Mus musculus: one gene and its partners. The protein of the gene in region 4 purifies or fractionates together with the protein of the main gene of each other region. This does not show direct contact. Links are inferred from orthologs where the notes say so. Each region holds a gene or a part of one and is shown on either strand. Other genes may lie near its edges.

Region 1 (7,909 bases), on a different chromosome or scaffold from region 4:
CTTGGAATCTTTAAAATGGTACCTTAGGTGATCTTAAAAAAATATTCAGATTTTCTTTTTGAGCTGTCTCCTTTTGGTTCAGAGTAAATGAACCAAATAATAGCCAGGAGTCTGGCTACTACCAGTTTCAAGAGGTAGCAAATGTGCTTTCTGCTAGTTGGGCCTTGTCAGCTGCCTTAATAAGATTGCTATAGTCCATTCCATCTGCCTTTGGTGATGACCAGAACTCTATGGCCCAGAAAGTGAGGCTTCTTGCAATTACTACTTGAGATCCATGAACCGGATATCCATGATGAGAAGAAAGTTCTTAGGCAATGGGCGGGGGGCTGGAGACAGGACAGTAAACACTTGGTGTTCCACATCCACACTGGTCACAACAATGAATCCAGCCACACTGGTCTCAGAAAGGTTCTCTTCTGTGCCCTCAGCAGTGCTCACACTCAGGAGATGGTGCACCATATCTCTACCAGGGGTGACAGGCACTAACTTGAGCTGGTTGTCTTCCTGAGACATACCCAGAGGTAAACAGGAATCTGGAATGGTGGGTGCTCCAACTTTGTAGATTTTCACATCAGAAAATTTGACGTTGAAGGCATGGGGATAGAAACAGCCTCGAAATCCATAGAAATACTCACGGATACGTTCATCTCTACATTCCCGCCGGAAGTCCTTGGAACGTTCTACCACACCCCCTGATTTTGGAAGCAACACAGTTCGAACAAAATGAGGCAGGTCCCTTTTCAATTCGTTGTACAGTCGCTCTTGATCCAGAACCACAACCACATCCACCTCAAAGGCCGACGCTGCGTGCACCAGGGCTTGGTAACCATAGCCCTTGACCCAGCCACAGGTGTTGATGACACAGCCACTCACAGAAGCCCTTCTGTTCACTTCACACCTTTGGTTGAACACATCTGCTAAGCGAGATGTAATCTGGAAAAGAATCAAAAGAACAAAAATAAACCTATTTTTCTTAGTGATGTATTAATTTTTATTTCATGTGCATTGTTGTTTTCATGTGTGAGGATGTAGGATACCCCTGGAGCTTGAGTTACAGTTAGTCATGAACTACCAGTGGGTGCTGAGACTTGAACTCAGGCCCTCTGGTAGGGGAGCTCTTAACCACTGAGCCATCTCTCCAGCTCCTAAATCCATCTAAGTTCCTCTTTGAGTAATAGGTATCATCCAAAAGCTTTACAGGCTGGAAACCCAACCACAATCCTTGAAATGTGCTTGGCAATTGAGCTACATGCAACCTTAGCACCAAAGTATTTTTAACCTTAGTGCCCCAGTAGTTTTACTTTTCTGAGACAGGGTTTTAGTACAAAGCTCTAGCCTAGCTTCAAACTCCTGAAAGTCCTATCTTAGCTTTCCAAGTCCTAGGATTATAGGGATCAGCTACAATACCCACTGATATATTAACATCAAAATTGATGTTTTTAATGACTGTGGTTTTAACCCCATAACATGGATTTAACTTTATGTTACTTAAGCTTCTTTTTTACAGTGTTTTATTTTTTATTATGTATCTGTATGTCTGCCTGTGCACATGAGTGCAGGTGCACAGAGGCCTAAGGCATCAGATCCTCCTAGCACTGGAGTGACAGGCAACTGGGAATAGCATGACATGGGTGCTAGGAAGTCAACTCTGACCCTTGACAGGAGTAGTACTGTTTTTGATTTTGGTTTTGTTTTGTTTGCAATAGGGTCTTACTATGTCCTGGAATTCACTATGGAGACTGGACTGCCTCTGAATCTGCTAAAATTAAAGGTATATGCCAGACCCCCCCCCTTTTTTTTTTTTTTTTTGGTTTTTCAAGGCAGGATTTCTCCATGTAGCCATGGCTGTCCTAGAACTCTCTCTATAGACCAGGCTGGCCTCGATCTCAGAAATCCACCTGCCTCTGCCTCCCAAGTGCTGGAATTAAAGGTGTGAGCCACCACTGCCCAGCATATGCCAGACTCTTAACTGCTGAGCCATGTCTCCAAGCCCCCTGCTTCCTGTTTTACCTCTTAATAATGAGTTACTACGAATAATGCCACAAGATGCTATGCAGTCTACAGCTGACTTATGTTAAAATGATCTTATGAAATCAGGTGGCAGTAATACCACACCAAAAAATAAAAATAAGAAAGGCAATTATATTCAAAAGGAAAATTTTGCAGTTCTAAGTAACAAAGTTCCCTACTTCCTACCCTGATTGTAACTTTTCCCTCCACCCCCTCTTAAATTCCAGTTCTGACCTTATTGTAAAGCTTGATGTTGGTGCCAGGCGTGGTGGAGCCAAAATGATACACAAGAGGGGCCTGGATGGAGAAACCTTCTTCCACATCTGCTGGACGCTCAATGTACAGGGCCCCCATGGTACCAGGGATGGACACAGAGCCCTGGCCTACATCTAACTCCACGTAAGTAGGACGGCGGCCCAAACGCACTGCGTAGTTGAGTAGCAGTCGACACACAGTGGACTTGCCCACATCAGTAGGACCTACTACCATCACTCGGGGACCTCTCTCTTCTTCCTTTTCTGCCTGCCTCCGCATCTGCTCCAAGGCTGTATGAGTGTTGAGGTAAAGCAACATAGGGGTGTCCTTAGAGACATAAGCCACCTCAGTCCGGCCACTCAACTGCAGAGAACAGCCATGCCAAGTGAAAACAGCCACCTTGGCACCAGCATCAAAAGTGAATTTCTTGTTTCTGGTCAGCTCTGTGCCAAAGATCTCCGCCATGCCAGCCAACAACTCCAACTGAACCGATTGAGAGGCCTCCACCTCAAATCGAAGCTCTGTTTCTCGCTCTAGTTCAAACTTAGTCGTTGGCTTCTTGTCATCATTGGATTCCTCGCTCATCTTTCCAGTAAAGCTGACGTGCCTAGGACCCAAATTAAACATTTGATTAAATCACCACATCAGGCCACTATTCAAAAAAATCTTCCACTGGTTTAGTCCCTTTATCTTTTTCTGCAGTTCTTATTGCTGCCAGACTCACTGTTTACAGCCAGTCTCTCCACAACCAGAAGCTAAAGGTGTTTTGTTTTGTTTTGTTTGTTTCTCTGTGTAGCCCTAGCTGTCCCGGAATGCTCTGTAGACCAGGCTGCCCTGGAACTCAGAAATCCACCTGCCTCTGCCTCCCAAGTGCTGGGATTAAACACGTGCGCCTCCACTATCCAGCAGTAAAGGTATTTTTGTTTGCTCCTGGGCCTCTGGTAGGTGGAATAGTAACACACCTCAACAAAAAGTAAGAGTGAATGACTAGGACATAAAAAGAAAACTACCTACCGATGTAACTAACAGGAGATTTGAATTGCATAGTCTTTCCTCCATCACTCTATTGGAAAACAAAGTAACACATGCCCATTGTCCAGCTCCCTTAGCCAACACGAAACAAGCTCTGAATCGTATGCAAAGAACAGGACACTGGGTGCAGACTCAGAAAACAGTTGCATGTCCAACTCTGGGACTACTAGTAGTTACTTACTATAATCCAACGACTTAATACCTGAACCAACTCCCCAGCTGCTATATGGTGGGCTTTTACACGTCCTCTTGTAACGGTGCTGGGCCGGGAATAACAAGGACCACAGTTGGAAAAACAAAACATTGTAAATTAGAAACTACTGCCGGGCAGTGGTGGCACACGCCTTTTAGTCCTTGCACTTGAAAGGCGGAGGCAGAGGCAGGTGGATTTCTGAGTTCCAGGACAGCCAGGGTTACACATAGAAACCCTGTCTCGAAATAACAACAACAAACAAACAACAAACTACCAAAGAAATTTAAATTACTATTTCTAATTCTGAACCACAATTCTGGGTCTAGTTAGCTCCGACACCAAAATCTGCCGGGGCTTCTCAAAGGTAATTGGGATCCTTAAGCCTTACCTATACGGGCACGGACTCAAAACCAGCTTCACAGAAACCTGGGACCTCTGGAAACCTCCGACCTCAGCAAACCTCGGACCTCAGCAAACCACGAATAACGTTCACCTAAATACTAGCCGGAAAGCAAAGGCGGTTCCGCAATTGCGCAGTAGTAGAAGACGCGATCGCGTGATGCATCTTGGGACCTGTAGTTTGGAGTGAGTGAGCGCGCGTCGCCGCTTGGCCCTCTGGGAAATATAGTTCAAGGATTGTTCGGTGACCCGCGGAGGTGGGCGGGGCAGCGCCGTCACTTTGTGTGGGAAGACGACCGGAGGCGGAGAGGAGAAGTTGCTGGTTCGCCCTCGGGAGGGAGGTGGTTATAGGGTCTCTCCCTATCTGCTGTCCAGGAAAGCTAAGGGCGACCAGAAAGGGAGAGGCATTGCATCACTGTCTAGATCAGAGCTCTGCTCGACTAGACCACAAGCCAAAAAGTGGGGAAGTTAGCCTAAGCCGGAGACCCAGGCAGCTGGAAAGTGGCAGAAACACGCGCACGCGCACGCGAACACACACACATCAGGTCAAGCAGTACCCATTTGAGTCTATGCGGAACTGGCACATAGAAGAAACAAAGTGTAATTCTCCCTCTCTCCCTGCCCCCACCCCCACCTCCTCTGTATGCTCAAGGTGCCAACCTGGCACTCCATGAGATTCTCCTGCCTCTGATCTGACTTCTGGGATTTACAGACTTAAGCCAATAACCAGGCTGATTTTTTTACTTTAGTAAATATAGAATAAAAGTCCTATGATTTCTTTCGTTTATCTTATGAATCAGTCATTATCCAACAACTTCTGCCAGATTCTAAACTGTTTCTCTATGCACATCTGACAGTTATTCAAAATCGTTGACACCACTGCTAACTGGTTCCACGCCTATAATCCACTTCATGAGTATGGCCTTTGGAAACTTATATTATTTTACTGCCTGACAGGCTCCCTTTCCCTGAGACATCTCTTGTCTATAAAATGGGAATAATAACAGTATTCAACCTCCTAAAGTTGTTTTGAAGATTAGATGAGACATATGTGCTAAGCACAATGCCTATAATATAGAAAGTATCTGATGTTAGCCTTAAGTTTTTATTATAGACTGGGGAGACTATAATATCTGTTTATACATTTTTCAAAGTAGTTCCAGGTGTCTGTGTCACTGTACCCAACAAGCCGGGCAGTGGTGGCGCACGCCTTTAATCCCAGCACTTGGAAGGCAGAGGCAGTCGGATTTCTGAGTTCAAGGCCAGCCTGGTCTACAAAGTGAGTTCTAGGACAACCAGGGCTATACAGAGAAACCCTGTCTCGAAAAAAAAACAAAAAAACAAAAAAAAAAAAATACCCAACAAACCCAGGTAGGTATAACATCTCCAATTTCATCTGAGGAGAAAACTAGGCTAATCAGTGACATTTGCTCAAGAACTCAGTTATTAGTAGAGGTAGACTTTTGTTGTTTTTGTTGCTACTACTGCTGCTGCTGTTTTAAGACAGTGTCTTCACTGTTCTGGCTGTCTTGGAACTCACTACATACACCAGACTGGCCTCAAACAGAGATCCACTTGCCTCTGCCCCCAGAGTACTGGATTTAAAAACATTAAAGGTGGATTTAAAGGCTTAAAGGTAGATCTTTTTTTTTTTCTTTTTTTTTTTCTTTTTTTTTTTTTTTTTGATGGTTCATTTCTTTTTTTTTTTTGGTTTTTCGAGACAGGGTTTCTGTGTAGCCCTGGCTGTCCTGGAACTCACTCTGTAGACCAGGCTGACCTTGAACTCAGAAATCCTCCTGTCTCTGCCTCCCAAGTGCTGGGATTAAAGGCGTATGCCACCACGCCTGGCAAGGGTTCATTTCTTTTGCCAACTTAATTGAATCAGTCCTTGGACACCAAGGGTGGTGCAACTTTGGGTGTATCTGTGAAAGGATTTCAGAAAAATGCAACTGAAGAGGAAGATTTGCCTTGAATGTGGACAGCTCCATTTCATGGCCTGAGGTCCTGGACTGAATCAGAAGAGGAAAAGGAAAGGCCACTTAAGGACCTACATTCCAGCCGGGTGGTGGTGGTGGTGCACGCCTTTAATCCCAGCACTTGGGAGGCAGAAGCAGGTGGATTTCTGAGTTCGAGGCCAGCTTAGTCTACAGAGTGAGTTCCAGGATAGCCAGGGCTACACAGAGAAACCCTGTCTCGAAAAACAAAACAAAACAAAACAAAACAAAAAAAGGACCCACATTCCTCTCTGTCTACTTCCTGATCTGGCCAGACGTAAGCAAGTTTTCACCACCATAGCTGCATGCCATTGCCACTGCCATGTCTTCCCCGTGTTGACTGACTCTGTCTCCCGAACCATTCATCAAGATAAAAACCTCCTTTCAGTTGCTTTTTGTCAAACATTTGATTATAGCAACGAGAGAATCATAACTAAAACATTTAAACCAAGAGCTTAGGGGGCCGGATCAGTTTCTAATAATGGGCAAACAATTACACAGTGTTAGCTGTTAGGTGTTGTTCCATGGCTGTATGGGTATATATTCATTTAATCCCAGGTAGAATCCTATGTTGTAGTTATAACTGTAACCTCCATTTTACAGGTTTTCTGGGTTTCTTTTTTAAGATGTATGTGTGTGAGTGTTTTGCCTGTGTGTATATATGTGGACCACGCTCATACTTGGCACCTGCAGAAGTCAGAAGATGATGGAGCACTGGATGTTTGTGAGCAGGCCATGTGGCAATCAAATCCAGGACCTCTGCAAGAGCAACAAGTGCCCTTAACCCATGAGCCAACTCTTCAGCTACTCCACCCAACCCACACTGTTTGTTTGTGATTTGGGGTTGTTTGTTTGTTTCAGTTTTTCAAGAAAGGGTTTCTCTGTGTAGCCCTGGCTTTCCTGGAACTCATTCCATAGACCAGGCTGGCCTTGAACTCAGAGATCCATCTTCTCTGCCTCTGCCTCTTGAATGTTGGACCTAAAGGTGTGAACCACAACTGCCCCACATATTTTTATGTAGAAGAGTGTTTTGTCCACAAGTATGTGTGTGCATTGTGTGCATGCCTGATGCGCTTCTAGATCAGAAGAGGCCTGATTTCCTGGAACTGGAGTTACCAATAACTGTGAGCTGCAATTGCTAAGCCATCTTTCCAACCCTTGTTTGGTTTTTAAAGCAGGTGAATACTTTGTTCATCCTTGCCCACATGATGAATTTGAACTGAGAGATCAGGGGAACTTTCTGGTCTACCTTTCTCTTGCTGGTCTTACCTAGCACTCAGTTTTCAGGCAGGTAGTTGTCACCTCTCACAGTTTTCTTTGGAGATGTGATTTAGTTACGCCATTCATTCACCATGCAGGCATTAGCTTTTCAACGAACTATTCGGCATAGGCTGATCCTTTTTCATTCTTCAGAATTTTAGCTCTAGACTTCCATTAGCAAGCATGTAGCCTAATCCTTTTTCTTCGGAACTCACTCTTCCCAGTCTGGTTCTTTGCTTCCACTTTCAATGCGTCCCAGTTACCTGAAAGGCATCTTTCCTCAGATAGTGTATAACCATCTCATCTTTCCTCAGATAGTGTATAACCATCTCAAGCTGAAATCAGCAAGAGCCCTCTCCTCCCTTTGAGATTGCTCTCCACTTGACTTCTTTTTTTTCTTTTTTTTTTTTTTCTTCTTTTTTTTTGATTTTTCAAGGCAGGATTTCTCCATGTAGCCATGGCTGTTCTGGAACTCTCTCTGTAGACCAGGCTGGCCTCGATCTCAGAAATCCACCTGCCTCTGCCTCCCGAGTGCTGGAATTAAAGGCGTGTACCACCACCACACTCTGCTCCACTTCACTTCTTAAATACAGAAAAAGGACGGTATACAAGCCATTTGAGTGTGCTTGTTGCCTGCACTCTCTTCATTTCCAATCTCACCAGGCACTCTGGCAGTCTGCCTGCACCCGACCCCCGTAGGACACCCCATCACTCTGTCCTGTGTCCTGGTCCTTCTCTACAGCTAAACCTTTGATAGTTTTGTTTC
Region 2 (6,289 bases), on a different chromosome or scaffold from region 4:
CCCAGCAACCCCATGGTGGGTCACAACCATCTGTAATGAGATCTGACCACCTACAGTGTATTTAGATATAATAGATAAATAAATCTTCTTTTAAAAGTGCTAAGATTTTAGGTGTGAGCCACAAAATACAATAATAAAAAATACAAACATTATGAAAATAGTATAAATATGTCGTGCTGGGCTTATTTTAATATTGAAATACACATCTTGTGCTGGTTTGTCTTGACAGCTTGACACAAACCTAGACATGTGGAAAGAGGAACTCATTTAAGAAAGTGCCTCCATCATCTTGGCCTATAGGCAAGTCTCTCCTAATCTATTTATTGTTTTGATGCAGGGTTTCCTATCAAATGACTATGAATTCCAGATCCTTCTGTCTATACCTCCCAAATGCTGGAATTACAATCCGCTTTCATGCAACTGATATGTTTGTTTGTTGAGACAGGGTCTTTCCTCTTATTCCTGGCTGTCCTGGAGCTTCCTATTCAAACTCACAGAGTTCTGCCTGGCTCTGTCTCCCAAGTACTGGGATTAAAGACATGCACTACCACAGCCAGCTTTGTGTATATCTGATATTTTATAACTATTTTTTATTTAAGGGAAATGGGGTCTATGAGTCCTGGCTATCCTGGAACTATGAACTATGTAGCCAGGCTGGCCTCAAACTCATAGACATGTCCTTGCCTCTGTCCTTGAATAGTAGGAGGATAGGCCTGTACCACTAGGCCTAGCTCAGATATTTTTTATTTTAAACAGTGTGATTGGTAAGAATTTACACTTGCGCGGGGCAGTCTTTAATCCCAGCACTTGGGAGGCAGAGGCAGGTGGATTTCTGAGTTCAGGGCTACCCTGGTCTACAGAGTGAGTTCCAGGGCTATACAGAGAAACCCTGTCTTGGAAAAAAAAAAAAATTTGCACTTGCATTTGTATACTCAAAAGGCATCTTGTTCATTTAGTCTGGGAGGACAGATTGGTAGACAAGGAGACAGATTAGCTTACTTTCTGGGTCAAACATTTGCTTTCTAAATTTTTTTTTTGTTGTTTTTTGTTTGTTTGTTTGTTTGTTTTTTCCGAGACAGGGTTTCTCTGTATAGGCCTGGCTGTCCTGGAACTCACTCTGTAGACCAGGCTGGCCTCGAACTCAGAAATCCGCCTGCCTCTGCCTCCAGAGTGCTGGGATTAAAGGCGTGCACCACCACGCCCGGCTGCTTTTTAATTTTTAAAAATGATTTATTTAATGTGTACAAGTATTTTTCCTGCCTATATCCACACAAATACTCCATGTGTGTACCTAGGACCTTCAAAGGTCATAAGGGGTTAGATACCCAAAGACTGGAGTTGTGAGCCCTGTTTGTGCTGTGAACAAAACTCAGGTACTGGGGCTGGCAAGATGGCTCAGTGGTTAAGAGCACTGACTCTTCCTGAGTTCAAATCACAGCAACCACATGGTGGCTCACAACCACTAGTAATGAGATCTGGCACAGTCTTCTGGTTCGTCTGAAGACAGCTACCGTGTAGTAATAAATCTTTGGCCTGGAGCAAGCAGAGTTGACCAGAGCAAGCAGAGGTCCTAAAAATTCAATTCCAAACAACCACATGAAGGCTCACAACCATCTGTTCAGCTACAGTGTACCCATATACATAAAATGATTTTTAAAAAAAAATCAAAAAAACAAACAAACAAAAACAAAACCCTCAGGTCCTATGCAAGAACACCGAGCCACCTCTCCAGCCCATATTTGTTGATTTGAGACAGGCCCTGCTGGCCTGTAACTTGCCATGTAGACCAGGCTAGCCTTGATCTCAGAAATTCCCCTGCCTTCACCTGAACACTGGGATTAATGGTATAAACCACCACACCAAGTTAATTTTTTTAAAAACTACATATATGTCTGTGTGAGTATGTACACCTGAGTGTAGTTGTGTTTAGAGGGCAGAATAGGGCACCAAATTCCCTGAAGATGGAGTTGCAAACACATAGGAGCTGTCCTCTGTGTTGGGAACTGAACTCAGCCCCTTTGGAAAACCTCAACTGCTGAGCCTCTACAACCCCACAAATGTAGCCCAGGCAGGTCTCACACTCATGATCTTCCTGCCTTTGCCTCTTCCGCATATCTTTCTGGACTGGTTTACACCACCACAAGCAGCTCATGCAACAGTTCTAGTTATAACCTTTACATCACATATCTAAAATGGTTTGTAGTAATCTCAAAGGAACCAATAAGATGGCTCAGCCCTTAAAGATCCTTGATGGCAAGCCTGATAACCTGAGTTCGTTCCCTGAGACCCACAAGGTAAAAAGAGAACAGGCTCTCTCAAATTGTCCTCTGACCTCCTCCTAAGTTCCATGGCACACGCATGCTTACATACATACACAGGTATACTTACAATAAATAAACGCCATATCTTCAAGGCAACCCTTAGTGCAATGAAAAGAGGCAGATTCCTGAATCACAAAGACCAGGTATAATGGCCCAGGCCCAGTTTTGTGACCCTGGTCAAGTCATTTCCCATTCCCTTTTCTCATCTGAATACAGGAATGAGAGCCCCACATTTCAAGGATTGTTGTAAGGACTCAAAATACAAACATTTATTCAACAAATTTATTAGAACTGCAGGAACCTAAGCCCCGCAAGAAACACAAAAGCCAAACAAAAGCAGTCTCCATGCTCAACAAGCACAATTTGGAAACAAAATAAAGAACAACACAGGTAGTAATCGCCTTAAAACAGGAAAAACAAAACCAAAAAACAAACAGAAAGGATGTAGTGTTCAAAACCCTGGAATCGGAACAAACCAGGCAGAGCAGGAGAGCGCAAGCCTCCGTGCAGAGATGAGCTGGGGTGACCATTGAAGAGGGTTCTTGCCACACACAGTCTCCAGCTCACTGCAGGCTGGCCCACTGCAGGGATGTGTAGACCACCTTCCCATCAGGCTGAGGGGAGCAGAGCAGCAGGGTCTTCCTGACACTGGTTCCCAGGCGGCCTGCAGAGACCAGGTCCTGAAGTGGGATGGGGTCCTCAGCAGACCAGCACTGAGCAATGTAGTGAGCATGGAAACGCAGTGGATCACCTGGGGGAAAGAAAGATGCATAGCAGTTCCCCTCCGCAGGGGCTGGGATGAGATCTGACATGGGGGCCTTGGGCTTACTGCACTGTTGTTTCCTTTGTAGTGCTGGGTATAGAAGCCAGGGCCTTCCTTGTGTAGATTAGATAAGTATTCTACTGCCTTTCTATTTATTTATTTACTTACTTACTTACTTTTTTTGTTTGTTTGTATTTCGAGACAGGGTTTCTCAATTCCCAACAGCCCTGGCAGGTTCCTGTGGGTGCAGGAACCCTTAACTGGTCCTCTGCAAGAGCACCCGGTGCTCTTAACCATTGAGCCATCTCTGTAGCACTCTCTTACTTTTGGAGACAGGGTCTACGCTGTCCTTGCTAGTCTTGAATTTGCCCTGTAGTTATACTGACCCAACCCTGGCATTCTCATTCTCCAGCCTCCTGAGTTATGTGTATCATAGGCTACATGGACATTTCAGCTTTCAGCATACACTGAATATTTTGAAACCCATATCCTTGGACCCAACTACTTTTTTGTTTGTTTGGTTTTTGGTTTTTCGAGACAGGGTTTCTCTGTCTAGTGCTGGCTGTCCTGGAACTCACTCTGTAGACCAGGCTGGCCTTGAACTCAGAAATCTGCCTGCCTCTGCCTCCCAAGTGCTGGGATTAAAGGTGTGCGCCACCACACCCGGCTCCAACTACTTTTTTGTTGTTGTTGTTGAGACAGGGTCTCTCTATATAGCTATGAATGTTCTGGAATGTAGACCAGACTGGCCTCAAACCTACAGAGATCTCCCTCCTGTCTATGTTTCCTGAGTGCTAGGAATAAAGGTGTATACCATTACACCTGGAACAGCTAGTCTATGCCTAAGGATCCTCTATCTTCTCTTTTTCCTTTTTTCTTTTTTGGTTTTTCGAGACAGGGTTTCTCTGTGTAGCCCTGGCTGTCCTGGAACTCACTCTGTAGACCAGGCTGGCCTCAAACTCAGAAATCTGCCTGCCTCTGCCTCCCGAGTGCTGGGATTAAAGGCGAGCGCCACCACGCCTGGCTTCTCTTTTTCCTCTTTTGAGACAGAGATTTCATGTGTCCCAGGCTGGTTTTGATGACCCAAGATGGCTTCACAATGGCTAAGAAACAGAATAGAAAGCACAGAATGGTTCCTTCCATGGTACAAGACATATCTATCTATGAGACTAAACAATACACAACTACCATGATTAAAAGATGTGGGGAGATGCACTTGTACCCTCAAGCACTGAGGAGACTTGGGCCGTGGGGGCAGAACACGATACTCCTTGAGCTTAGGAGTTTAAGACCAACCTGGGCACCATAAAGAGATTTTACCAAAAAATAAAATAAAATAAAATATGAAAAACAAACAAAAGAAACAAAGCCAAGATTTTTTAAAAAGGCACAAGTACTAGGATGCAGCTCTAATAGACCACTTATGTAGCACAAGCAAGGTCTGATCCCCAGTATTGCAGTCATAAAACAAAAAACGGGATCAGTCTGAGACTCTAATAGGCTAGAAAAAGAAAAGATTTTATACTAGGATAGTGCAAAAATCAAAGCACATCATGGTGGCAAATGCCTTTAATCGCAGCACTGGGGAGGCAGAGGCAGGCAGATCTCTGTGTGTTAAAAATCAACCTGGTCTATAGAGAAAGTTTCAGAACAGCTAGGGCTGTTACACAGAGAAACAACTGTCTTAAAAAAATCAAATACATGATAATGATAAAATAAAAATAGTTAAAAGAATGTCACCCCAAAAGATTCAGATAGTGAACACGGTTAATTTTGTGGGCCTCATTGCACAGACTTGGCTCTGCCAGCAGAGCACAGCAGCCATATGTGTTGTGTAGGCAGAGGCAGGAATAATGACTTTAGTTACTGAACAGCTGACAGTGTATCCCTGGTGAATCTGAACTAGCGTGATAGGAATCTGAGTACGACTATACAAGAGGGTAAATCACAGGAAATGGAAATTTAAAATATAGAACTGGAGAGACGGCCAAACGATTAAGAACTCAAGCCATTCTTCCAGAGGGACCCGAGTGCTAAGTTCCCAACACATACATCAGACGGCTCACAAGTGCCTGTAACTCCAGGTCCAGGAAATCCAATGCCATCTACAAGTCTCCTTAGACATCTACACAGACATGTACATACACAGACATGTACATACACAGACATGTACATACACAGACATGTACATACACAGACATGTACATACACAGACATGTACATACACAAAACATAAAAAGAAAACAGAAATGAAATCCAAATCTTTAAGAGGGGCGGAATGAGAATCTAAACCATGAGACTGCAACCCTCTAAGGGAAACTGTTGCTATGTCCCTGCCTGGCAGCTGGGTTCTTGGCAGAGCCTAGGCAGTAATGAGGCTCTGTGGCTGTTACAGGGTTCCAGCCAGCAGAGAGGGTATATCAAAATGCTTGAGAAACTAAACCTGTAACTGCTTTCCTAGACACTTAGCAGCTTTGAGCCTCAGGCAAAATTTAGAAATAAACTTAGAAGCATTAGAGTGATGAGGCTTTAGACACTATTTCAAAGAAGCAAGGATTCTCTCCATGTCCCATAAACAAGTACTCACTGTTTTAGAAATATTGACATATCAGTGCCGGGCATGAATGCTTATGCATTTTAATCACCTCAGCACTCACACGGTTGAGATCAGCCAGGGCTACATGCACCACCCTGCCAAAGGAAAGAAAAGAGGCAAGAAAAGAACAAATAGTTTAGCTTATGGTTCAACTTATTTAGTGTAGATTAGAGCTGTGTGTGGTGGCTTATATTTGTCATCCTAGCACACAGAAGGCTCAAGCAAGAAGCTCAATGCTTCCAACTGTGTCATGTGGGAAACTGGATACCAACCGGCTTGGGATTCAATAGTGAGACCGTACATTTAAAAAAAAGAGGGACTGGAGAGCCAGCTTGGTGGTTAAGAGCACTGGCTGCTCTTTCAGAAGAATTCAATTCCCAACACCCACATGGCAGTTCACAACTATCTCTAATTCTAGTCCAGGGGATCCAACACCCTTACACAGACATGTAACAGGCAATGCACATAAAAATTAAAAAGAAAGAAAGAAAGTCCTGATATGGTTGCAGATACCATTGATCCCAGCACTTGGAGACAAACAGGTAGATAGATCTCTGTGAGTCTGAAGTCAGCAAAGGTTACATAGTAGACCTTAACTCAAAAACTTCT
Region 3 (7,050 bases), on a different chromosome or scaffold from region 4:
AAGCAGGTCACACTGCAGAAGAGGCCAGTGGTGAGAAACAGCAGTTACTGGCCAGAAAGAAGATGAAGCGAATGATTAGCGGCCCAGAGGACAGCGCATTATTCTGTAAGGGATTAAGGTAAACATATAGCTGCCAGATAACCCTCTCCTGACAGGAGCTCTGTATGCCTTGGCAAGAAGCACCGCACAGCAGTAGGAAAGTGGCTTCCTGCTGGGATAGCAATGGAAAAAGTGACCTCACAGAGGAATTCAGCACAGAAATGCTCTCTGAACAAGAGATGAGACCTCGAGTAAAGCTTTAAGTTGTTTGGTTCTAGGCTTATAAAACTGTAAAGATGGTCCAGTCAACGAATACAGATTACATGAGAACGCTGTTACACGCTTGCTCCTCTGCTGGAATCTTTGAATTCACAAGTGTCTCTGCGCCCATGTTCTCTACAGCAGTCCTAAGGTGTGGAGAGAGTCTTCTAAAGCCATCCAGGCAGGAGAACAAAAGAAATCAGTCAGGAGCTATTGGACCTGGGTGACTTCACGCTGCCCTGAGCCTTCCCAGCAGAGGGCACAACAACCAGGAACTCGGGGGAGAGCAGGCAGAGAGAAATCCCACAGTCTTTTCCTCTCCTTCCAACTGGAAAGAAGGAAGCAAGCTTAAATGGAATACAGCAGCGATTCACGTTGAGCTTAGGCACTGTGTGCTAGTTAACTAATCCTGAATCTCACTGAATAAATCAGGCTTTTGCAAGCAAAAATGAAATGCATATGGATTGAGGGGGGAAAAAAGTCTCTCCTATTCACCCCTTCCCCCAACAGGCTTTTGCTTTTAAATATAGATTTACATTTTAAGCAAAGCCTGACTCAACTCCCATATTTAATGCCGGTAGTGTGTAATTTTAAAGGTCTGTCAGAAAGAGGGGGTGTGGGCACCCTTATTTGTACTTTTATTTATACCACTTCCCACAGATTGAAACAATTCGAGAACTCTTCTCAAGAAAAACCACAAGCTAATTGGAGCCTGCAGTCTGGAGATGCGCTTAGTCTACAGCACCCTCTGCTGTCCATGTGGACTCCAGGCAAAAAGCAAGGCACTGTCCTAAGACCCAAGTCTACATACAGCATGCTTTGGTGTGTTTTTAAAAGAACATGGTTTCCCGTTCTGTTCTTCAGGACTCTTGCTATCTAATGGAAAGGTCTTAGGTAAACTCAGTTACAAAGTTAAACAGGCCACTTCACCGAGTTGTTTCACTGAGATGAGATGCTTCCCTTTCCTCCCTTCAGACTGTCGGGGCATTGCTCACATTAGCAGGCATCTAGCTGGCTCTGGCAGAACAGCTTTAAGCCACAGAGCATTCTGAAATCAACAATCCAAACTGCACAATGAAACTGAGTGCCGGCCTTAGACCTAAAAGGCCATTTTGGTCTTGTTACCTAGCTCTGACTCAGTGATCTCACCTTTTTATGTTGTTTTGTTTTGGTTTTGGTTTTGGTTTTTCAAGACAGGGTTTCTCTGTGTAGCCCTGACTGTCCTGGAACTCACTCTGTAGACCAGGCTGGCCTCGAACTCAGAAATCCACCTGCTTTCTTTCTGCCTTCCGAGTGCTGGGATTAAAGGCGTGCGCCACCACACCCGGCTGTTTCTGACCTTTTTAAGCTACACGTTTCTGTATGAAATGTAGATTGCTTTCTCCAGCACCAAAACGAAAGAATTCCTTACATGCAGTCCAATACGACCCAGTAGGAATTAAGGTTAGAAGTTATACCTTATGACTCTTGGATCTGGAACTGCCACACTGGAGTGGCAGAAACACGTTCTTCAAGCCTTCTGGGGCAGCAAAGGGAATCTGAAGTTGTGAAAGTCTTTCATCAAGAAAAAGTGGGTCTCGGGCATGGTCAAGAAAGCGCAGGTCAAGTACAGACCAAGAAAAGCCTGTTACACTCCGCATACTACTTCCAGCTTTTGTCTGGTTAGGTTTTTTTTGTTGTTGTTTTGTTTTGTTTTTTTGTTTTTTCCCATTCCTTTCACTACTACTTCCTAATGAGCCATGAGATCTGGTGTAGGTGGAAACTGTGACTTACTTCTAATTGAGGAACAAGGCAAAAGAGACGGGAGACCTGTGACATGAGACAGTAGGTCCAACCTGCTGACTCTCTTGGCTTTGAGAAAGCAACCAGTTGTGCTGGGATAGCCCATTTGACAAGGCACAGAATGCGGCCTCTACCAAACCCTGAGAGGCGGAGTGCATCACAGACACAGGAAGCTGCCACAGGCAACAACAGGCTGAGAGAGGAAGCGCATCTCAGTGGCACCTCAGTGAGACAGCAGCCCAGATCATAAAAGTGCTGTTATAAGGCTGGCTACACTGCTACCTTTAGCATGCAATGATGGATGATTACGACAGATTTCAAGATATTTTTTATTTTAAACCGTTTTATTATAAAAGTAATACAAATGACAAATGAAATGTGGAGAAGGACAAAGGCATCCACTTGCTGCCTGCCATCCTACTGAGACCACTATCAGTAATCTGATTGTCACTTTCATAGCCTGGCGTGTCATTCACACCCATGACCACGTTAATGCTCTTGTGTCCGTTTTCTTGCTGTAGCGTTTTCTCCGTACCACTCACTGATACCTGTCTATCGACTACGTGGGATGGCAGAGGCACTGCCAGGCTCCACAACTCTGCACGTATCCTTGGTGTAAACCCGCATGCAACTGTACTGTCTCTGATAAGAAAGTTCTAGGCTAACTATATTTGCAAGCAATATAGTGCTTCCATCGGAGAAGGCTTTATTCTGAAAGGAAGTTTATGGGTTGGGACTAGCTAAGTCAGCCCTGACTACCTCTGAGATAAAAGACGAGCAGCTCGCTGAGGAGCCTCACATCCAATCTTTCAGAACTGAAGTCAGCACCAAGAAGGGCAGATGTCATCTTCTAAGAGAAATATTCTGCAACACAGAGGAAGAAGGTCAGAGTGCAACTAATAGACAGCACATGCAAGACTAAAATTATAAAGATATTTAATGTAACTATCACACTTAGGTGGACAAATGCTGAGCAAGCAAATACCAGACATGTACTAAAATGTTAGGGACAGAACGTTAACTCAGGGTTTTCTCAGTAAGCAACTGACTACAGCCGTTACTGGCCTTTGCATTTCACTCCAGCTACTTAGATGCATGACTGCACAAAATGCTCTGGAAAAATGGGATATTCTTCACAGAACAGGAAAATTAAATTATTTCTTCAAAAAACAGCTAGGAAAAAGCGGCCTTTTCTTATCTGAGGAATAAAAACCAAGCCTTTTTTGCCTTGAATTTCTCACATGGCAAAAGAAGTAGAAGCCTGATCCACACTTGGGGTCAGGCCACGCCTCTCTCTCCCATTACTGTTTCCTGTGAATCACTTCAAAACTGACCTGAGGGTCTGGCAGCATAAATCCATCGGTAAGTTTATAATAGACTATTGTGGAATCTGACTCCACTATGGCCAAAGTAAAAGACATCGGCAGTTCTGGATCGCCTTGCAACTTTCTAGACGCCTTCAAGATTTCCCTTATCCTGAAAATGAAGACAAAGTTTGTTTGAGACTCATGGTTACTCAATTAACAGTAAGACCAAACAGTATAAGTTCTTGAGGGAAAGGTAGGACATGGCATCCAAAATGCTAAGGCCATGTCTGTAGGCTCAAATGGGAACATCTGAAGCTGTCCTCTCACACAGACACCCTAAGAAAGGCCTACATACTGCCTTTTCACTCTCTCCGGGTTAGCTGAGTCTGAAACCTATAAAACAACAACAACTACAACTACAGTGTTCTGTGTATCTAATTGGCTGAGGACCATAGATGTTAATTTTCCTGTTTTCCAACTTGGTTACTTACTGAAACAAAGTGACACTTGGGTCTATTATTTTAAACAGATTAGAGGGCTGTTGTGATGGAAGACACCTGTACTCCCAGCCTGGGAGACTGAGGCAGGAGAGTCACAGGAAATTAGAGAGAAGACTAGTTTACAGAGTTCCTGGTCAGCCAGGGCTTACACAGTGAGACCCTAACTCAAAATATCTGAAAAGTAATGAACTGACTGTAACAAACGCGCCTCTTGCTTTTCCATGGGGTTTATAACCACTGCCTTGACTATGTAACTCCCCATTGGTTACCCACTGGCCCAGCGGTGCTCCTGTTGTTGTAAGGCCTGTTTTTGGTTTGTCTGTCCCAAGTCAATCAGAGGAAGCCACATTAGAGTCTTTTATGTTAACATTCTCAAGACTTCTGATATTCCTTTATTCACACTATTCTCTGGCATCATTTCCTCACTCAAAAGTTAATTCCATTCTCCCCTTATTTGTTTAAATTGTCAAATATTGCTCGTTAAAAATTATTTCTGTATGTGAGTGTTTTGCCTATACATATCTATCTCTCACGTGTGTGCGGCGCCCACAGAAGAGGGTGTTGGAGCCTCTGGAACTGCAGTTACCAGCCAGCTGCCATATAGGTGCCGGGCATAAAACCAGAGGCTTCTGCAAGAGCAACACTGCTCTTAGCCGCTCGCACTGCTTCTTCCTCAGTATACAACATACACAGAGCCTAGTCAATGCCCATAAACCCTGTAATGGACACGCTGAAAGTAAATTTCTCTAAGTATGCTGTACTGGCTAGTTTTGTGTCAACTTGACACAGCTGGAGTTATCACAGACAAAGGAGCTTCAGTTGAGAAAATGCCTCCATAAGATCCAACTGTAAGGCATTTTCTCAATTAGTGATCAAGGGGGAAAGGTCCTTGTGGGTGGGATCATCTCTGGGCTTGTAGTCTTGGTTCTATAAGAGAGCAGGCTGAGCAAGCCAGGGGAAGGAAGCCAGTAAATAACATCCCTCCATGGCCTCTGCATCAGCTCCTGCTTCCTGACCTGCTTGAGTTCCAGTCCTGACTTCTTTCAGTGATGAACAGCAATGTGGAAATGTAAGCTGAATAAACCCTTTCCCCCCCCAACTTGCTTCTTGGTCATGATGTTTGTGCAGGAATAGAAACCCTGACTAAGACATATGCTTAACTGGCAAACTATGGTGAGATCAGGACAGAGACAAAAAAGAAAAGGAAAGGAAGGGAGGGAAGGGAAGGAGGAAGAGGGAGGAAGGAGGAGGAAGGGGGAGGAAGGAGGAGGAAGGGGAGGAAGGGGGGAGGGGGAGGAAGGGGGGAGGGGGAGGAGGAGGAAGGGGGAGGAAGGGGGATGGGGGAGAAAGGGAGGAGGAGAAGGGGGGAGGAGAAGGAAGGGGGAGGAAGGAGGCGGAAGGGGAAGAGGAGGAAAGGGGGAAGGAGGAGGAAGTGGGAAGGGAAGAGGGAAGGGAAGGGGGAAGGGAAGGGGGAAGGGAAGGAAAGAAGGAAGGGAAGAAGGAAGGAAGAAAGAAAAGAGAGAAAGAAGAGAGAGAGAAAGAAGAGAAAGAGAGAAGAGAGAGAGAGAAGAGAGAGAGAGAAGAGAGAAAGAGAGGAGAGAGAAAAGAGAGAGAAGAGAGAAAGGACAGAAAGAAAGATCTTGTTAAGACAACTGTATTCAATTTCTCTTTTTTAAACATTATTATTTTTTAAATTAAAGGTAGGTGAGTATTTGTGCATGTGTACACCTGTATGTGTCTATGTGTGTGTGCTTCTGTATGTCCATGCATGCCTCTGTGTGTTTGTGTGTGTGTTCGTGTGTGTGCTTCTGTGTGTGCACATGTGCACATCTCCTAAGGTGAGGTGGTGACCTGGGCGAGGCACGCACATCTCACACTGCCAGTGAGGATGGAAACGTCCACTGCATTGACTGTTGTCCTTTCAGTCTCGGCTCATACTTGTTTTCGGAATCCTCAACACCAAAACATTCTTAGATTAGAGATTTAACTCCAGAGTTGTAAAAGAGGTTTTGTTCTCAGAGCTAAGGGAAATTACTGCCAACTTAAATGGAAGTTCCCATCTCCGAGCTCCTGTTTATCCCACTTGGTGCAGTGAGTGGGAAAACTACCAGTGTGTCTTCACAGGGATAGAGGACAGAACGGTGCCTAGCTACTGCCTGACCACAGCTGGGCAGTTTTACAAAGTTTCCTCTTCAAAATCATGTCTAGTCTACTATGAACATGTGTTTAATATAGAGCCATCATCTCCGTAGTCAGACTTTATTCTTTGTTCCCTTTAAAGTACACTGTATAAGCTCATAAAAATACTTAAGCCAGCAGGTCATTGCTTAATTATTAAAAAATATGGATAACATCAGATGTTCTGAGGTTCTACTTTAAAAATAACATGACTGGTAAGACACACTGAAGGATAACATTGAATTTTCAATAAATGTGAAATCTTACTTAGAAACGAGAGAACTCTACATCTGAACAAGGGTTTCTTTTCTACTTAGTGAAATTTCACGGAGAAAGTCTCAACTAAAGAAAAGGGTATGTTGATAATAATCATAGCTGTTGATTATCAATAGCAAAATTTGATGCTGCTGGCAGAGTTCTCCTTTTGATAATTCTTCACAGGTGACCTCTGTATGCTGAAAATAGGGCACTGATTTTTAATAACTTAGTATAACCAAAGACAAACTCAACACCATTTGGCTATAACGTCCAGAGCCAGATTATTTAAGCCTTTTCCATAAATCTTAAATATTATTTTTCTCTAATGACCCTAAAACAAAGACAGTGGAATCTTTACAGATTTGCAGTGAGAATAAGAAACTGAGTAAAGTATTACTCTTAACTAAATGCATTGAAATAAAATGCACCATGAATTAAGAATCATATTAATTTTGATTCACAGATCCTTCTGTACTCAATAGCCAAGTAGGATACACTGTGACTCTATCTATAAAAGGCCCTGACTTCTTCACCAGCCTCAGCATGCTATAATGGAAGGCATCCCTGACAAAATCCCTGCCTTTGAGCTCTGCAATGGCTCAAAATTCACTGTGTTCTTCCCCGAGCTCAGGCCTGAAGAGAACAGGCCACCTCTGTGGGAATCAGGTCAAATGTCCCAGGTTTTTGTTTTTGTTTTTGTTTTTTTTTTTAAGAAAAACAACAAC
Region 4 (7,326 bases):
CTGCTTTGTTTTTGTTATGTATGTATGTATGTATGTATGTATGTATGTATGTATGTATTAATTATATAGGAGTACACTGTAGCTGTCTGGACACACCAGAAGAGGGCATCAGATCCCCTTACAGATGGTTGTGAGCCACCATGTGGTTGCTGGAAATTGAACTCAGGACCTCTGGACGAGCAGTCAGTGCTCTTAACCACTTAGCCACTTCTCCAGTCCCCTTGGTTTTTGTTTTTGTTTTTTTTTGAGACAGGGTTTTGAAAGACCCACAACGTTTGTAGAGTTTACTTAGAACGCAGTCATGCAGTGAGTGGAACATGCTAACTGATTCTGCAGAGGAAATGCCTGGAACATACTCCCTCCCTCTGCAGTCAGGGCGTGATCAGAGTCACACAGCACATGAAAAAACAGTAGGCTCTGCAATTTAAAAAAAACTTGAGTTTTTTCCTTCCTTCCTTCCTTCCTTCCTTCCTTCCTTCCTTCCTTCCTTCCTTGCTTCCTTCTTTGTATCCTGGAAAGAGTCTGGCTGTGCTGTTCTAGCTGGCTTTGAATTGCTGGGCTCAAATGATCACTTTTCTTCAGTCTCCCGGTAGTGTTCACAGCTACGTGTGGCCACACAAGGTGGACTGTGTATTTTTCTATTAACTTTTTTATTGTTTCGCAGTACTGGGGATTGACTCAGAACTTTGTGAATATCAGGCAGGTAATCTGCCAATGACCTTCAACACAGCCTGAGTTACACACTTCAAATGAATGAACTGGTGTGCTAATTACATCTTAATAAAGATAATTTTTTAAAAAAAGCTGACAAAAATTAGCTGAGCATGGTGCTGCACACCTTGAATCCCAGCACCCAGGATGCTGTCAGGAGGCTCTCAGTACATTTGTGGCCAGCTGTCTATATAGTGAGTTTTTGGGTAGCCAGAGCTACCCTGAGATACCCTGCCTCAAAACAAACAAACAAACAAACAAACAAACAAACAAACAAACACAAACAGCAGAAAACTTGACAATATTTTGAAACCTTGCTGAGAAAAGGACTCAGTTTGGTTGTGGTAGTACACACCAAATCCAAGCACACCTGAGGCAGGGGCTGTGAAATTCAGGCTAGCCTGGTATCCCAGTAATAAGAACCTCTCTTGGAAGAAAAGAAGGAAAAGGAAGAGGAGGAGGAAGAAGAGGAGCAAGAGGAGGAGGAAGAAAAGGAGGAAGAGAAAGAGAAAGAAGAAGGGGAGGAGGAAGAGGGGAGAAGGGCTCAGATAAACCTCTTAAATGCTCAAAATTCCTTTTGTTTCCTCGATGAGGATTTGAACCCAGAGCTCTCAAACACCATTTTAGTGAGCTCCAACACACTCTCAAATGGTGAAACAGGCTGAGTGAGGATGAACATCCTAGTAGGTGATGACACCATTTAGCATTCTATACAGAACTGTCTGCAAGGTGGGGTCAGGTGCACAGTGCACAGGGTTGGACTTACCCAGGGCTGAGAGCAAGATGCACACATACCTCTTCTAGGCTGAGCTGCAGATACTCAAAGATCCTGTATGGATTTCTTCTGCACACAAGTTTCTTCCTTTTCAGCAACTAGAGAGAGAGAGAGAGAGAGAGAGAGAGAGAGAGAGAGAGAAAATGAATGAGACTACGAATAAATCAGCCACCTGAGACACTCCTATCATGAGACTTAATTCCCAAATGAGCATTTTCTTGATAAACTCAATGGGCTACATAGGCCAGGGTAGTCCAGGCTGCCTCAGCTGTGGTGGGATTTGGTATGTACTGCCACACCCAACTTGAGACTTTCTTTTCTCATCAAGGTTTCAGAATATTGTCAGGTTATTCTACTGGGTTTTTCACGCCGTTAGATAAAATCTGTTAAAATTTTTTTTTTTTTTTTAAATAACCTATGTGGGTGCTGGAGAGATGGCTCAGTGGTTAAGAGCACTGATTGTTCTTCCAGAGTTCCTGAGTTCAATTCCCAGCAGCCACATGGTGGCTCACAACCATTAACCATATGGTGGCTCACAACCATTTGTAATGGGGTCTGATGCCCTCTTCTGGTGTGACATAAGATAGTGACAGTGTGCTCATATACATAAAACAAATAAATACTTAAGAAACCCTACATGGAATGGATGCTCTTGTTCTTCTGCTGCTAACACCATCTTGTGGATTTTCTCTGCAGATGGGACAACTCCACCGTTGAACTTAGTGTTTTTCACTTACAAGCTGTGTGCCTGAACTAAGGTGTCAAAACTTCAGTCATGCCTGAGATCAGGCACTTATCATGAGTTTTTTCCTCTCCCATACAATGTACAGAGAATTACTGGTCTTGCTTTTTTTTTCCCCCCGCCCCCACTGGTCTTGCTTTAACTTATTTATTTAAAAAAAAAAAAGGTTGAATCTTAGCGGAAACAGGCCTTACAACTGCTGTGCAACTGGGGCTGTGCTTCAGCGCTGGCCTCAGAAACACCACACAGGCCCAGTGTGGACAACAGGCCTGCCCAGGGGCAAGTGAAGGACATCTGGGAGGGCTGACACCTCTCACTGGCCAGCAGGAGATGTGACTGACAGTCTTCTTATCTCCAGGGGACATGCCCAAGAGTCCCAGAAGATGCCTGCGACTGTGGGTGGCACTGACCCCAGGGGTACAGTTTTCCTATCCACACCCAGTCATGGTAAAGTCTGCACTAGTGAGAGATTAGCAGCAGTGACGAGTACAGGAGAGGGGTCCTAACACTGCAATGAGAGCAATAAGGAATGTGGGCTCTCTTTTAAAAGCCACAACCAACAGCAATGCTCTCAGACTGTCGCTGACTGTAACTGAAGCCCAGATGTGGGGAGCAGGGCACTTTGATCTATGTACCTTCTCGTCTGATGCCGCCGCCGCCTCCTCCTCCTGGGCACCACACAGCTCTTCCTCTATGAGCACATACTCGTGAGCAGCCCTTTTCTCTCCTGCGGCCTGGCTGCTGGCTTCAGGCCAAAGGCCACCCTGTGGAACGAGGGTTTCCTGGGGGAGAACCTCGGGGTCCTCTGCCACATGCCCATTATGGCTAGATGGACTAGCCGCAGCGAGTGTGGCATGGCCAGGCCCCTCCTGCAGGCAGTCTGAGTGTGTGCCGAGACCGGGTAGGTCATCTGACTGTCCAGCACCTCCAGGGGTCACGGGGAGTTCATCCTTTTCCACTCTGCCTTCCAGGGAGGAGTCGGCCTTGGAGCTCAGTGGCTCGTGCTGTGGGGTCTCTTCTTTCTCCTCTCTGCAAGGAAGCTCCAGTGGCTCTGTGTAGTCTGTAAGGATCTTCTGCACAGTGCTCTCATCGTGGCCCTGCCTACGCAGGAAGTCCCTGGCCCATTCCACCCGATGCTGATACCTGCCAACAGAAACAACGTCAATAACACACTCAAGTCTCAACCCCGTGACAACAAAGTAACCCAGAAAGCCTTCAAGGTGGCCCACCAATATGCCGAGTTCTTCTCAAGGGTGGACTGCAGGCCGAGCTTGCCGCCCTCATTCCCCTGCATCTAACTGTCCAGCGACAAGCAAGCATCATCGACCCTTTAACATTATTTGCTTATTTTGACAAAGTTAACCTCCCTTTAACAAAGTGTGACAATCTATGCTATTTAAAACCAAGAGATGCTGGTAAATAAGGCAGAGAAAAATGCTGCCTTTTACTGGGGTCCATTTTGTCTTATTTTTAATCTTGGTTATCACACTGTTTCTGACAGATACTCCAGTCATGATATAAGACCCTTTCTTTAGCACTGGAAAGTGAATTTCAATAGATACTTTTCACAGTACCCAGGAACATCACTGATATGGGAAGAATTGATTTGCCTTATACACTGTTCAACAACTTGTAAGGCAAATCATCTGTTGTGATGAAACACTCTGACCAAAAGCAACTGGTGGGGAAAGGGTCTAGTTCACCTTAGAGCTTACAGGCACCATGAAGGGAAGCCAGGGCAGGCGCTCCAGACAGGACCCAGAGGCAGGAACACAAGCAAAGACCTTGGAGGAACTTTGCTTCTAGCTCACTCTCTAGCTCACAATCAGTTAGCTTGCTTGCTTTCTTTCTTGCTTTCTTTCTTGCTTGCTTTCTTTTCCTTTCTTTCTTTCTTTCTTTCTTTCTTTCTTTCTTTCTTTCTTTCTTTCTTTCTTTCTTGTTTTGGTTTTTTTCGAGACAGGTTTTCTCTGTGTAGCCCTGGTTGTCCTGGAACTCACTCTGTAGACCAGGCTGGCCTATAACTCAGAAATCTGCCTGCCTCTGCCTCCCAAGTGCTGGGATTAAAGGCGTGCGCCACTATGCCCCGGCATCAGTTAGCTTTCTTATACAGCCCAGAACCACCTGCCTAGAGATGGTACCATCCACAGTGCTCTAGGGATTTCCTTCATCAGTTAGCAGTTGAGAAGAATGGCTGTGTAGACCAATCTTCAACTGACACCCAAGATTACCACCACACACACATATATGTCCAAACATTTGAAAATAGTTCCCTATAATAATCCTCAGAGTGTAGTAACACATTAAATTTCTATCCTCAAAGAGTTGAGCATTTGCCAAGGTACAAAGGCTATGGTGAGGACAACAGGGCCGTGTCAGGATTGCTGGGATATGTCCCTGTGACATAAGAACATGTTACCAACCAAAGATCAGCAGAAGGCTGATCTTAGTGGCAAACACCAGTGGTTCTGCCCATCCTGAAGATACAACTGAAGATACAAGTCATTTCATTCCTCTTCTTATTTCACCTGTGTGCTCGATACCCAGATATATATCAGGGTGCACACACTGTCCAGCAGGCAAACTGTCCTTTGTACCTAGAAAGCTGTTGTCTGCTTCACTTTGGCTTATTGGAATTCCAAGCTGTTCACATTGGTTTTCCTATACACAGATGAACACACATCCCTGTATACTGGGAACCGAATCGCTGACTCATTCATATATTACCATTCAGCAAGCAAGAGCAAGGGCCCTACTACTGTCCACTGTGCCTTACCCTGCTCTTTTTTTTTTTTTTTTTTTTTTCTTTTTTGAGATAGGGTCTCATTTATCCAGCCAAGACTTGAACTTGCCAATTCTTTTGCTTCAGTTTCTTGAGTAGCTGGTATTATAGGCCTGTGCTACGAGGCCTGGCTGAATCTGTAGCTGGGACTATGTTTCAAAGACTGAAACATAGCTGGGAGGTGGTGGCGCACGCCTTTGATCCCAACACTCTGGAAGCAGAGGCAGGCGGATCTCTGAGTTCAAGGCCAGCCTGGTCTACAGAGTGAGTTCCAGGACAGCCAGGGTGACACAGAGAAACCCTGTCTCAAAAAGTGCCCCCTCCCACACTAAAGGACTGAAACACGGCAAGGCTGCTCTGAAACCTGTAGTATAAAAGGTGTGGTTAATCTGGTATTGCACATGTCTGGGGTTTAGTCCGACTTTGTCATTCACCACTGTGTAGCTTCTGCTTCCATTTCATCTCCCACAAAATTGGGAATGCTAGTCCTCCTGGCTCACAGAGATCTTGTTACATACAGCTTCTTATCATCAAGGAACATGGTGGCCTGGCAACCAGTACACACAGTTGAAAAGCCAGAAAGAGCTAGAAAGTTTTCTTGTGCTAGCAACTGCAGCATAGACTCTAGAGGTTTTGTGGCTCTTTGAACCTGTTCATTTGATTTTTTTCTGACTATGTGTGTGGGTTTGTTGTATGTGCAGCATATGCACGTGGTGCTCTTGGAGGCTGAAAGAGGGAGCTGGACTCCCCTGATGCAGGTTGTTGTGAGTCACTGTGTGGGTGCTGGGAACTGGTCCTGGGTCCTCTGCAAGATCAGTGAGAGCTAATAGCCACTTCTCCATCCTCTGGACATCTGCTATTTGAACCTCTTGTGTCGATGTACCTTACTGTAGAAGAAGGGATCTATAAGATACATCAGAATCCCTGACTTGAAAATGTGACTTAGCCACAGTGGTGCAAGTATGTTCTTCTCGAACCTACAGGGATAAAGGCAGGATGATTGCATGTTTTAGGACAGCTATATGGTAAGATCTCTGGCATACAAAAAACAAAAAAAGTAAAAGTATAGCAAAACAAAAACAAAAAACCACCACCACCACCAACAACAACACAAAACAAACAAACAAACAAACAAACAAACAAAAAGCCTAGTAAAAACCCTAAAAGCAAAAACAAATTGAAAGAGCCACTTAATTGAAGATTCAGCCACCCGCCTCCTTTGTGCTGATCCAGGGCAAGCACACAAGTGCCCTGGGCAGGACAGACGGTGAACTCAGATCCCTGCTACACACAATGTCATACTTGCTGTGTGACCATCACTTCTCAGACTCAGAGTCTCACCTAACATGTGCCACCTCATGTGGAGAGGATGGACGAAGAGGAGGTGTGTGAAGTGTGAAGCACAGATGTGCCCAGGAAGTTACTCGTCTGCTCTCTTACTGTGAGGCCCTCTGGGATAGTGTAAAACACAACTCCATTGTCTCAGTACACATTGCATTAAAAACTACACATGGCTCTGGACCTGACTCTTCTGAGTCTGGGCTGAGCCACTGGCACCTCTGCCCCTCCACTCTTCTGTCACATGTCACAGCCACTGCCCTCCTGCCTCATCATCTCTCAGATGACCTAATACTTCAACAAGAGTGGCCATGCGACTGTGAGGGAGAAATCCCAAGTAATTGGAAATATAAGAGGTAGATGGCAAATAGCCTAAGACTGTAGTGTGTGGGGCCCAGAGTGGTGGCCTCCTGCTGCCTGGAAACTCCTTAAAAAGTCAAGTCCTGGAAGAGTGTTGAAGCGAAGAGCCGGTGCCAGAGAGCAAAGGGGAAAGGCAGAGGGAAGAGGCAGCAGGTAGGACTGGAAGCAAATGTACACCTCTCAGGCTCCCAGGCCCTGTACATGCCTCTCCCAGATCCCTTCTTCTATCTGATGGGCCCATGTCCATTTAGTATCTGGGTCATCCTGGAGCCAGCCCCTGAAGGCCCATTCTAACTTCAAGTGAAGAACTTAACTTCCATGGTTCAGTTCCTTACTTGCAGAACATGGATATCAAGAAGACAGGAAGTCTTCATGGGTATGGGGTAAGGACTTAGGAGACAAGAGAGAAGGCTGTCACGTGCACAGCGTCTCTTGCACAACATAGCCAGCATCACTGGCATAAATAGCTGCTTTATTGTTCTCATGTGTGGATTCCTCTCACTCTGGAGATGAACCCACTTACTCATGGGAAAGCTACTCCAGTAGTGTATTGTTTCAATTTAAGATGAGGTCATCCTCACTGGTATACGTCAGGGACTGGCCAAGAACACCGAGGGCTGC

The links.
Region 1: the proteins of Tsen2 (region 4) and Clp1 purify together in Homo sapiens (affinity purification with mass spectrometry; 3 studies listed by BioGRID and IntAct, counting the BioPlex papers as one, with this or other methods). This does not show direct contact. The link is inferred for Mus musculus from reciprocal best matches to the Homo sapiens genes TSEN2 and CLP1.
Region 2: the proteins of Tsen2 (region 4) and Tsen34 purify together in Homo sapiens (affinity purification with mass spectrometry; 3 studies listed by BioGRID and IntAct, counting the BioPlex papers as one, with this or other methods). This does not show direct contact. The link is inferred for Mus musculus from reciprocal best matches to the Homo sapiens genes TSEN2 and TSEN34.
Region 3: the proteins of Tsen2 (region 4) and Tsen15 purify together in Homo sapiens (affinity purification with mass spectrometry; 4 studies listed by BioGRID and IntAct, counting the BioPlex papers as one, with this or other methods). This does not show direct contact. The link is inferred for Mus musculus from reciprocal best matches to the Homo sapiens genes TSEN2 and TSEN15.

What each region holds. Positions count from the first base shown.
Region 1 is NC_000068.7:84,723,285-84,731,193, forward strand, and holds the start of Clp1 (polyribonucleotide 5'-hydroxyl-kinase Clp1), read right to left. Parts: upstream 4,004-7,909; 5' UTR 3,879-4,003; intron 2,873-3,878; 5' UTR 2,851-2,872; coding exon 2,245-2,850; intron 934-2,244; coding exon 262-933; 3' UTR 1-261. UniProt on the Homo sapiens protein: Polynucleotide kinase that can phosphorylate the 5'-hydroxyl groups of double-stranded RNA (dsRNA), single-stranded RNA (ssRNA), double-stranded DNA (dsDNA) and double-stranded DNA:RNA hybrids. dsRNA is phosphorylated more efficiently than dsDNA, and the RNA component of a DNA:RNA hybrid is phosphorylated more efficiently than the DNA component.
Region 2 is NC_000073.6:3,697,311-3,703,599, reverse strand, and holds the end of Tsen34 (tRNA-splicing endonuclease subunit Sen34), read right to left. Parts: intron 5,776-6,289; exon of another isoform or gene 5,672-5,775; intron 3,073-5,671; coding exon 2,885-3,072; 3' UTR 2,565-2,884; downstream 1-2,564. UniProt on the Homo sapiens protein: Constitutes one of the two catalytic subunit of the tRNA-splicing endonuclease complex, a complex responsible for identification and cleavage of the splice sites in pre-tRNA. It cleaves pre-tRNA at the 5'- and 3'-splice sites to release the intron.
Region 3 is NC_000067.6:152,368,338-152,375,387, forward strand, and holds the end of Tsen15 (tRNA-splicing endonuclease subunit Sen15), read right to left. Parts: intron 3,559-7,050; coding exon 3,417-3,558; intron 2,947-3,416; coding exon 2,926-2,946; 3' UTR 2,398-2,925; downstream 1-2,397. UniProt on the Homo sapiens protein: Non-catalytic subunit of the tRNA-splicing endonuclease complex, a complex responsible for identification and cleavage of the splice sites in pre-tRNA. It cleaves pre-tRNA at the 5' and 3' splice sites to release the intron.
Region 4 is NC_000072.6:115,555,638-115,562,963, reverse strand, and holds part of Tsen2 (tRNA-splicing endonuclease subunit Sen2), read right to left. Parts: intron 3,372-7,326; coding exon 2,864-3,371; intron 1,585-2,863; coding exon 1,507-1,584; intron 1-1,506.